Canis lupus familiaris: one gene and its partners. The protein of the gene in region 3 interacts with the protein of the main gene of each other region in a biochemical or structural test. Links are inferred from orthologs where the notes say so. Each region holds a gene or a part of one and is shown on either strand. Other genes may lie near its edges. The genes, in order: NPPC, NPPA and NPR2.

Region 1 (3,743 bases), on a different chromosome or scaffold from region 3:
AGGGGAAGCAACATACAAACTCCCGCAGGCACCTGTACCTGGCTTCGGTCTTGGCACCTAGGGACCACCGCCCTGGCCCCGGGGAGTGCTCTCCAGCAGAGTCCTGTGGGGTGGCAATGGGATCATACATTTCTGCACCTCACTCAGTTCTTGAGGTCCCAGGCTCTCTGCCTCCTCTGCCCATCCCGAAGGGACTCCTTGGAGCCCAAGGCATTAAGACACTCTGTCCCAGGAGAGGGAGTTGTGAGCAGCGGGTCTAGGTGACTTTGTCCTGACTATCTAAGGCTGAAAAAAAGGAAGGCAACCACCTGTCACGTCCCCGGAAGCCATACTGGGCTCGAAGCTGGTAAAGCTCTCTCTGCAGCCGGTGCAGGTGCGCGGGTCCGCGCGGAGAACGGCCTGCTCGGCGCGGGGACAGACTGGCTCAGGTGCACACCGGTGAGTGCACACGAAAGCTACCGGGGTCAGACCTCGAGGGTTCGGTGCAGCGGACCCGGCTGAGCGCGAACTTAGAGCCACAGTGACGGGTACAGGATGCTCCTGCACACACGCGTGGGCACCGGTATCTGCGGCCTCCCGTCTTAGCCCATCCGGTTCGCGTTTCACTCTCAGAAACACCCGCAGGCAAAAAGCTTGCAGTCTCCGGTGTAGGACTTGCGCTCCCCCCTGCGGCCCCGGGGCAAACCTCAAACCTCGCTCTCCCTGCGCCTCAGGCCCAGCTTCCACCCCATCCTCTGCCTCCCTAACTTAAAGACGTTGGTGCGGTCTGAACTCCCGAGTAGGTGAAAGGTACTGGAGCCGCAGTACCAGGCCTGCTCCTGCCTGGTGCCCAGGGAAGAGTTTGGCAACAAGGCAGATCTGCGTGGATTTCGGGCTGTGCCAACTTTCTGGCTGTGTGGCTTTGGGCAAATGACTTAATTCCTCTGAGCCAGTCTTTGCACCTGCAAAGAGGGAAACTGATCCCTCCTAGGGAGAGCGCGTGTGTTGAGGTCCAAGCGTGTGTGCGGGGCACCGGGAGCACCAACGCTTGGCATGCCTGGCACGCGCTCGCTGCAAATGGAGTTCCCTGTGCGCGCCGCTGTGCAGCCGCGAGTGCGGCGGGAGAGAGCTGGCGGAGCGGCATCCCTCGGGGGTGGGATGTAGGTGGGGGCAGTGGGGGAGCCTCCACGGCCCCCTCCGGGCCCTCGGCGCGCGTGCCATTGGCCCGGGCAGCCGGGTGGGCGGGAGGATGACATCAGCGGCAGGTTGGATTATAAAGGCGCGAGCGGAGCCGCGGGTTCAGAGCGCACCCAGCCGGCGCCGCGCAGCACTGGGACTCGCGCCCACACCGCAGCCCAGCCTGCCTGCTCCGCGCTCGCCTGCCCGTCTGCCCGCCGCCCGTGCGCCCTCGCTGCCGCTGGTCTGCGCCCCTCGACCCCACCGGCACCATGCACCTCTCGCAGCTGCTGGCCTGCGCCCTGCTGCTCACGCTACTCTCGCTCCGGCCCTCCGAAGCCAAGCCCGGGACACCGCCGAAGGTGGGTGCTGTTGCATGGACATCGGGACTGTGAGGGGCTGTGGGAGGGCTGGGGGCCTAGGAGGCTGCAGCGCACGAGAGGGAGCAGAGGGCGCGAAGGCGGCCCTCTCCTCCGAGACGTGCACGGGTGCGAGCCGGGGAGCCCTCGACACCGCCTCGGGGGGCTGCATCCCCAGCCTCAGGAGAACGTCGACAGATGCGCAGCCCCTGCCCCAGTGTGGCCAGCCCGGCAGGGCGCAAAGGACGGGAGGGCAAGGGCTCCCCTAAGGAGCCGACAAGGCGGCTGCGTGGCAGGTGGATGCAGGGCCGAGCCGTCCCGCGTCTGTGGGGGCGCGCTCGGGTCTCCGAAGGGACAAATCGCGCTGGCGGGGCGTCGGGCCAGAGCAGCAGGGGTCCCGCCAAGTACCTGGCGCTGCCGCGGGGCGTCCCTTCACCTGCCGGTCCTTTCCCTCGGACAGGTCCCGCGAACTCCGCCCGGGGAGGAGCTGGCCGAGCCCCAGGCTGCGGGGGGCGGTCAGAAGAAGGGCGACAAAACTCCCGGGGGCGGCGGCGCCAACCTCAAGGGCGACCGGTCGCGACTGCTCCGGGACCTGCGCGTGGACACCAAGTCGCGGGCCGCGTGGGTGCGCCTCCTGCATGAGCACCCCAACGCGCGCAAATACAAAGGAGGCAACAAGAAGGGTTTGTCCAAGGGCTGCTTCGGCCTCAAGCTGGACCGGATCGGCTCCATGAGCGGCTTGGGATGTTAGTGCGGCGACCCCTGGCGGCGGTGAGTACCACCAACCCGGCCCGGGGCCTGTGCGCACCGAGCTCCCCCGACCCCCGCCCGCAGCCCGGGCCTCCCGGATCCCCCGCGGCGCCCTTTGGAGGAGACCCAGGCGATCCCGGCACGAGCGAGCGTGTGCGCGCGAGCCATTTGCCCCCAACCCCATTATCGTCCCATTTTACAGATGAAAAAAGTGAGGGATAAAGCGGTTAGGGGACTTGGGCGAGGTCAGAAACGGCTCCACCCGGATGAGCCACCTAACCTCCTCTAGAGAAGCCGACAGCTTGCATGGACACCGCGACTGTGAGGGGCCGTGGGAGGAGTGGGGTCCTGCTCACACCCGGACCCTGAGCAAACCAGCAGAACTGGTCCCAGTTGACCATTTGAGGGTATTGAGGGGAGACCGTGGGTTTGTGGGAGCAGAGAAGGAAGGGCATACGCACAAGCGGAGGGTAAGTTTACCTGCCAGCCCTGGATCGTGGTGCCCAGGCAGTAGGCAGCCCAGAGGTCAGGGCTCTTTCCCGGGACTAACTTGGACATACTTGGAAAAACACCTGCCCCTCCACAATAGAATAGCCCTCTGTTGGCATCACCAGGATGCCCTTCTGCCCCAAAGCTTTCTAATTCTTACCCCTTCTCTAACCTGCCGCTATGAGCAAACTGGTCTGTCCAGGGTCCTGATGCTGCTTGCTGCCTTTGTGACTTCAGGATAGAACCCCAGTGTTTGTGGCACTATTTCAGGGCAGGGAAAAAGACTAAAATAAATCTCTTTTTTTTTTTTTTTTTTTTTTTTGCCCCAACTTGGACCTCAGCATGTCCCAAATTGAGCTCCTCCCCAGCTTCCCACCTCCATCATGCCTGGGCCCCTCCACTAGGGCTGGAAACCCCTGTGCTACCTTCAGCCCCTGCCAGCATCCTGGCAGTGTGGCAAAGATGGTCCCCGCCTCCGCCCTCCTGTCCACTCCTGCTGCCCTTCAGTTCCCATGGAAATACAGAGCCCACCTCTGAAGTTCACATTTAAGAACTGACTCTGGTTTTCAACCTTTCCCTGAAGCCTGGCTGCTGCCATCCTTGGTCCCACAGCCTATCTATCCCACTCCAAGACCACGGGCAAGCCGTTCTCTTGCCCAAGAAGCCCTGTCAGTGTCCACACTGTCTTCCCCCAGAGGGCAATGAGTGTGCCCCTCTTTGGAGCTCTCCAGGACATTGCCTCAGCACAGAACACTTTTCATCTGAACCATTGTTGTTTGGGAACCTATTTACCTCCTCCAAATTAACTCATGAGCAGCTTGAGGGCCAGGTGCCTGCCTAAGGTGATCTGGGACCGACAGCACTCCCACAAGAGGCTTTTAAAAATGTTTGTCGATGGCCAGAGAAACATGCCCCACCCAGCTCAGGGGCACTCCTCTCCCACCTGCCCTGGGTTTTTCCTCCGTGCAGCCAGACTTGACTGGGCTGCGT
Region 2 (3,697 bases), on a different chromosome or scaffold from region 3:
CTGCCTCAGTCTGCGCCCCCCTGAACGGGCGGTGATGGCAGTTAGGTCATCCACACGGAGCTCTCGGTACAGCGTCTGGCACATACAGCTGCTCAATAAAGGTAACCGTCAGTACCATCTTGCAAACAGATGGCCCTTCATGGTGCGTTCACACCTTAGTTCACCTGACAACCTTGGTGGGGGGAGCAGGTTTTTACAAATGGGGAAAATGAGGCGGTGATGATGTGTGTAACCCGGTTTGTCTGGGGCTACGATGCAGGCCTCTCCACCCTTCACACTTAGCATTTGCCCCCCGGTACCTGGTGCATCGAGTAGGAAGCAATCAATCCATCAATGTGGAGTTCGGTGCTCAGTGAATGGAAGCCACTCGTTACACGTGGACAGGACAGTCTTGCTGCCTGTAAATTCTCTTTGGGGCCAGGAAAGCAGAGGCCTTGGTGGCTCATCACTCGTGTGGCCTCGCAGCAGGACGCAGGAGGCATTAAGGGAAACCGTGTGCCACTTCCCCACCCGCCGACTCGCCAAGGGAGGTTTCCCGGGAGGGTTGGGGGCGTCGGAAGCCTCACATTCAGAGCCTGGGGTTCTATGGGCAGCGAGGTGATGGGATGAAAATGTTGGCATCTCTACAAACCCACCTCCCTCCACACTGCAGAGGGGAAGGAGGAGGGGCTTGGCGGAGGGATGGCTGTGTTTCCAAAACTTTGCTTGGTGTTTATGTCTGGGAGCTGAATTCTTGGGACACTCATCACATTTGGTTCCAGGCTGACTATTTAATACTCTAAAAAATAACTCCCTCTTCACCTGACCGCTGAGAGCGAGTGCCAGGAGCGAGGGCGGCCCAGCTGGAGGGGAGGTCTGCCCCCACGGCCGATGAGTCAGGTGTGAGGCCAGCGTGAGCATCTGGACTAATTTGTCCCGAGCTGCAGGCTTCCTGCCACTTCCTCCCCTCCCGCCCTTATTTGGAGCCCCTGACAGCTGAGCAGAAAACCAACCGGGGGAGCTGGGCGCCGGCCAACCGTCACCCTCTGCCTCCCTGCGTGGGTCCCGTTGCTGAGGAGAAAGAAGCCCCAGGCATCGCTGTAAGATAACCAAGGACTCTTTTTTGCTCTTCTCACACCTTTGAAGTGGGAACCTCTTGAGGCAAATCAACAAGAATGTGGCTCTTGCCGCTGAGGGTCCGGGGCTGTTGGGCTGCTCAAGGTGGAGGGGTAGTGACAGGCTCTGCGGGCCTGATAGCTTTAAAAGGCCATCTTCTGCTGCTCCTCATTCAGCTGCTTTATCGCTGCAAGTGACAGAATGGGGAGGGTTCCGTCCCTCTTGTGCTCTTGGAGAGCCGGGGGGCTATAAAAAGAGGAGGCGCAGGGCAGCTGGGAGACAGAGGCAGACGGAGGCTGAGAGAGGGAGGCGAGAGGACAGGGGAGCAGCAAGCACCGGGCCACTCCTCGAGCGACGCCAGCATGGGCTCCCCCATCGCCGCAAGCTTCCTCCTCTTCCTGGCAGTTCAGCTCCTGGGGCAGACGGGCGCTAACCCCGTGTACGGCTCTGTGTCCAACGCAGACCTGCTGGATTTCAAGGTAGGGCCAGAACAGGGGCCACAGTGCGGGGCCAGGGGGCCTTGTGACGCTGTGCCGGTCAGTGAGACCTCTCCCTTTCCCTGTGTGTTCCTTTTGTAAAGAACTTGCTGGACCGCTTGGAGGACAAGATGCCTTTAGAAGATGAAGCCGAGTCTCCCCAAGCCCTGAGTGAGCAGAATGCGGAAGCTGGGGCAGCTCTCAGCCCCCTGCCTGAGGTGCCTCCCTGGACGGGGGAGGTCAGCCCAGCCCAGAGAGATGGGGGTGCCCTTGGGCGCAGCCCCTGGGACTCCTCCGATAGATCTGCCCTCCTGAAGAGCAAGCTGAGAGCCCTGCTTGCTGCCCCTCGGAGCCTGCGGAGGTCCAGCTGCTTCGGAGGCAGGATGGATAGGATTGGAGCCCAGAGCGGACTGGGCTGCAACAGCTTCCGGGTAAGAGATGCTGGGGATGGATACAGGATGGGGAGGAAGTTAGTTGTGGTTTCACCCTGTCAAAAAGTCCGGCCAGGGCATGCCTCCTGCAGTAGAGACCAGGGTGGAAGCTTACTTCCTTTGAAATGCTTGCCCCAACTTGGGGCAATGACCTCATCCTCAGCTACAGGCTGCCAAGGATACTCTAAGGGAAAAAAAAGGTACTGCCATGAACACTGGGAACTTAAAATGTTCATGGGGCCAAATCACCTTCATCCTGCTGATCGGTAGTTCATGTTTCTCCCCAGAATTGCCAGATCCCAAAGGATGAAATGATCATGACCAGGTTGGGGTGCTTGGGTGGCTCAGTAGGTTGAGCGCCCGACTCTTGATTTCCGCTTGGGTCATGCTCTCATGGGTTGTGGGATCGAGCTCCAGGTGGGGCTCCAGCCCCATGTCCATCTCCATGCTCGGCGGGGAGTCTGTTTGAGATTTCTCCCTCTGCCCCTCCCCTCACGCACACATGGATGTGCTGGTGCTCTTCTCTTTCTCTCAAATAAATAAATCTTAAAAAGAAAAAAAGCAAGCAAGCAAGCAAGCAAGCCATCGGGGTTGACTTCTAACTTTTACCGAGCAACTTGTGCACCCATTCGTGAAACTCCTGGCGTTGTCAGGCTGGGGTGGGGGGTGCTGGTGGGAAGTGAACACAGTCCTGTGAGATTGACCTTTCCAAAAGAGCCAGGTCACCAAGTCAAACTTGTGTCTGTTCTCTTTGTAGTACTGAAGATAATGGCCAGGGAGGAAAAGGAGGCCCTGGCCCGGGGGCAGACTCTGAGAGACCCTCGTCCCTTGGGGTCTCTCACTCAACTTTGTCCCAGCTCATTGCCATCAAGTTGAGCCGTGACGAGCACCGAGACCGTATTCAAGCTGCAGCCTCTTGGCGATGTTTCTCACGTTCTATGCTAAACGTAGATAACTTGGCTGAATTGTGGCTTTCCCACCCCTCCCACCCCACGCGTTAACAGTTTAGCATAGACACTCACCTGTTACTGAAAGGGGTTTGAAAACCAATAAACTTCAGCACCACGGACAGCAGCCAAGTCTGGGTTGGCGTGGTTGGCGTGCGGGTGGCGTGGTTGGCGTGGTCTTTCTTCTCCCAGTCTGAGGACCCGGTTACCTTTTGCCAGAGAGGAGAGCGCTCAGTTTCTTTCTTCTTCCTTTCAAACACAGTACGCTCTATTTCGGGGAGCAGTTTCAGGTTCGCTGCCAAATTAAGCAGAAAGTACAGAGGTCTCCCACAACCGCCTGCTGCACACACGCAGGGCCTCCCTCCCGCACGGCCAGAGCCGTGCCCTTGCTACACACCATGACTCTACACCAGCACATTCTTACCACCCGGAGCCCACACTTGACATTAGGGTCAAGCCTTGGTGTTGAGCATTCTGCGGGTTTGGACAACTTTTTTTCTCCTTTCATTCCCTCCCCAGCCCTCACCCCCAGCTTTTTCCTTGGTTGGAGGTGTGGGTGGGGCTCAAATTGCAGTTCACAATCTTGTTTCTTCACTCTGGCCTCATCACAGATCCCGAAAATGCCCCAGGAGATGGACGGAGAGGGCACTTATTTTTCAGATTTTGCTCACACTCGGGGCACTTATTTATTGAAGAGGAAACTTAACAAACATCTGGGCTTTTTTCATGGTGGCATCAAATGTCGCTT
Region 3 (3,743 bases):
AAAGATATATAAACACCTAAGAATAAAATGTCATTGTCCTTAATTTCCCCCCAAAACCACTAGGTGTCGCCTTCATCTCAAAGAAACTAGGCCCCTCCTCTCTGCACACCTACACCCCTCCCTCTACTCTTGGAGCTCTCAGTTTCTTGGCACTGTGGTTTCCGGAGAAGAGGGTTGGAGGGGGAGACAAACTGTGGCTCTCTGAAGGGGGAGGAGAATAGATTTATGTACATCTCCTTTATGACAATTTGAGAGAAACTCCCCAAGGTCCTATAGCAGCCCCTCCCAGCAACCATGATATCATCCCTCATAAGCTGTTCTCAGGATCAGATTGGCATGCCAGATGGGGGTATCTGGGGAGAGCCTTCTAGGTTGTAGGCTTGGGAGCAGGATGGAACCCAAGGGGGATACAGTGGGCTTCCATTGGCGGGGAAATGTTCTGCTTAGTCAGCCCATGAGCTGTTATCAGGTGCAAGCCTGGGCTGTGCAGGGAGACAAAGAGGGGAGGCTGTTCCTGGGCTGGGTCCCTGGAGCAGATGGTGTGGTAGAGGCCCAGCAGGCTATGGTGGGCCTCTGAGGGCATGGGAGGGCCCAGAAGGGAGCATGGGGAAGGAAGAGGGAGGTTGGAGGGCTGAGGTCTAAGGAAGAAGGAGACCAACCCATGGGCTTTGTAAGGGCTCAGGCAAAATCAGTCATCGGAGTCCCTTGGTCCTGGAGGCGTCAGTCTTCCAGGTAGCAGGCATGTGTTCCTGGTGAAGGAGTGAGAGGTTCCTGGCAATGAGAAGGGTGCTCTGGTTTACTAGGTGGAGAACAAGTGAGGATACCAAACATTTGGGGATTCCTGACTGCTTCCTGGAGACGGGAGCGTTGGAGGGACTCAGGGGAGTGGAGAGGGGACTCTAAGAACAGCGGGATGTGCGAGTGGGGAGAAGAGAAGTTCTGGGCTCGCGGCCCTGTGCAAGATGGGGAGAGAGTGGCGGAGCGGGCCGGGGCTTGGGGGAGACAGAAGTAGGCCCTTGAAGTGAGCGGGCGCCCGGGAACCTCGCCTGCCTGCCAGGCCCTAGCGCGGAGCCCCTGAGCTGTCCCTGGATGGGTTGGAGACCTGGGACGTCCCCGGGCGCCGGGGTAGGGGGTGGGGGGGGAGACAGCAGGCGCCAGAGGGTGGGGCGGGAGGGGGAGGAGGAGGGGCCGCGGGGGCGGGGGCGGGGTAGGCGCGGGGCGGGGGCGGGGGCGGGCGCGGGCGCGGGCGGCCTGCCCGGGGAGTCACACTCGGCCGCCGCCGCCGGCGCAGCGAGCGGAGACGGGCCGGGCCGCGGCGACCTGACCTGGACTAGCGGCGCGCCTGGGGGCCCAGGCGGGGGGCGGGAGGAAGCGCCGGCAGCGGCGGCCGCCCGGGCCCAGGAGGAGCGGAGCACAGAGGAGCTGGGACACGGGCGGGGCCGCCGCAGCTCCGGATGGGACCGGCGCCCTGGGCCCGTTAGTCCAAGCAGGAGCTTCAGGAGAAGCCTTCACAGGGAGATTTACCCCTGCCTTTCCCTCTCCTCCGGCCCAGGCCTCGCTTCGCTCCCCGCCCGCCCATGGTCCCAGTCCTTGGGCGGCGCGGGCCCCCTCCCACCTTGCCCCCTTGGTCCTCCTTTCCGCAGCCCTCAGCCCTCCTCCTAGCCCCTTCAGCGGTGAGGTACCCCCAGGCCTTTCCTTTGTACCAGCCTCCCCCCCACCCCCACCCCGTCCCACTTTTCCTTCTCAGCTTTATCAGGCTTCTCCACCTCTCACTGTCCCCATCCCTGTCGCAGGCCCCCTGGGTCCCTCCCTTTTCCTGCCACCCAACTCAGCCCTCAGTCCTTGCCCCAGGCTGGTAGACCCACTCCTTCCTCACCCATCCCCGGGGGGCTTCCTGCCATCTGCTCCTCTCCCATCCCCACCACTTTCTGTATCCCAGCCTACCTAGCTTCTCCTCACTTCTCTTCCTGGCCATCTTCCCCAGGTCCCAGGCTGGGTGGTGCTTGTGCCTCCCTGGTAGGCCAGAGTGGCGCCAGGTTCTGGGGGCGGGGGGGCTGCTGCTTTCTCCCCATGGCACTGCCATCACTCCTGCTGTTGGTGGCAGCCCTGGCAGGTGGGGTGCGTCCTCCCGGGGCGCGGAACCTGACGCTGGCGGTAGTGCTACCAGAACACAACCTGAGCTATGCCTGGGCCTGGCCACGCGTGGGTCCTGCTGTGGCACTAGCTGTGGAGGCGCTGGGTCGGGCACTGCCCGTGGACCTGAGGTTTGTCAGCTCTGAACTAGATGGCGCCTGCTCTGAGTACCTGGCACCGCTGCGCGCTGTGGACCTCAAGCTGTACCATGACCCCGATCTTCTGTTGGGCCCCGGTTGCGTGTACCCTGCTGCCTCTGTGGCCCGCTTTGCCTCACATTGGCGTCTCCCCCTGCTGACTGCCGGTGCTGTGGCCTCTGGTTTTGCAGCTAAGAATGAGCATTATCGTACCCTGGTGCGCACTGGCCCCTCTGCTCCCAAGCTGGGTGAGTTTGTAGTGACATTACACGGGCACTTCAATTGGACTGCCCGTGCTGCCTTGCTGTATCTGGATGCTCGCACAGATGACCGGCCTCACTACTTCACCATCGAGGGCGTCTTTGAGGCCCTGCAGGGCAGCAACCTCAGTGTGCAGCACCAGGTGTATGCCCGTGAGCCAGGGGGTCCTGAGCAGGCCACCCACTTCATCCGGGCCAACGGGCGCAGTGAGTGTGGCCCAGGCTATCTGAGGGTCAGGGGAGGAGGGTCGCTGGATCCCTGGAGCTCAGCGCTGGGGAATTGTAGATGGAGGTGGGCATGGAGGAACTGTACATGGTGGTTGGGGTCGAGAAGCACTTGTGGACAGAGCACCTGTGAGAAGGTTGAGGCATTATATTAGGGGGGCCCATGGACGGCACAGGCAGATGTAAACAAGGGATAAGATTTAAGATTGAATGAGAAGTGAATCCTGCATCAGGGAAGAATGTGGGATTGCGGGGGAATTGAATTTGGGGAGCAGTATGAAATTAGTGCTCGAGTAGTGAATGTGTGTCCATCTGTGAGCAGAGACTTATGAGATTGGGACACCAAGACCCCTTGGTGGCAGAAAAGGAGTGAGGACTCCATAAATGAACCTTTGGGTTTAGCAGATTTGTTTGGGAAAGACAGGGAAAAGCTGACACTGAGAGAAATTTTGAGATGTCAGTGCCTTTGAGGCTAGGGGAAGGCAGGGCAGAGCAGGGCAGTGAGGAGGGCTGGGTGGGGTGCAACAATCAAGAGCTCTGTGAAGAGGAGGGGCTTACAGCTGATAGCTCCCTTCCTCTGGGGTCTGGAGTCAGACTCTGACCTCTGCCAGATGGTCCATAAGGCCTGAGGGTCCTTATGACATAGACTCCCGGGGGAAGGGATGGGGAGCATATGTTGGGTGGTTGATAGGTTAGGGCACTTTCTTCCTTGCTAAAGATGGAAGTGCAGATGGTTCAGAGAAGAGGCTGTTTGGGGACTTTCTCAGAATGTCCCTCTGTCTTGTACCCGTTCCTAGTTGTGTATATCTGTGGCCCTCTGGAGATGCTGCATGAAATCCTACTTCAGGCCCAGAGGGAGAACCTGACCAATGGGGATTATGTCTTCTTTTACCTGGACGTCTTCGGGGAGAGTCTTCGTGCAGGGCCCACACGATCTACAGGCCGGCCCTGGCAGGACAATCGTACCAGGGAACAGGCCCAGGCCCTC

What was found.
Region 1: the proteins of NPR2 (region 3) and NPPC form a complex in vitro, tested with the Homo sapiens proteins (3 studies listed by BioGRID). The link is inferred for Canis lupus familiaris from reciprocal best matches to the Homo sapiens genes NPR2 and NPPC.
Region 2: the proteins of NPR2 (region 3) and NPPA form a complex in vitro, tested with the Homo sapiens proteins (3 studies listed by BioGRID). The link is inferred for Canis lupus familiaris from reciprocal best matches to the Homo sapiens genes NPR2 and NPPA.

The regions. Positions count from the first base shown.
Region 1 is NC_049246.1:43,898,916-43,902,658, reverse strand, and holds the start of NPPC (C-type natriuretic peptide), read left to right. Parts: upstream 1-1,294; 5' UTR 1,295-1,427; coding exon 1,428-1,517; intron 1,518-1,974; coding exon 1,975-2,265; 3' UTR 2,266-2,285; intron 2,286-3,743.
Region 2 is NC_049223.1:83,881,263-83,884,959, forward strand, and holds NPPA (natriuretic peptides A precursor), read left to right. Parts: upstream 1-1,282; 5' UTR 1,283-1,457; coding exon 1,458-1,574; intron 1,575-1,675; coding exon 1,676-2,002; intron 2,003-2,759; coding exon 2,760-2,765; 3' UTR 2,766-3,081; downstream 3,082-3,697.
Region 3 is NC_049232.1:52,614,277-52,618,019, forward strand, and holds the start of NPR2 (atrial natriuretic peptide receptor 2), read left to right. Parts: upstream 1-1,355; 5' UTR 1,356-2,070; coding exon 2,071-2,737; intron 2,738-3,552; coding exon 3,553-3,743. UniProt on the Homo sapiens protein: Receptor for the C-type natriuretic peptide NPPC/CNP hormone. Has guanylate cyclase activity upon binding of its ligand. May play a role in the regulation of skeletal growth.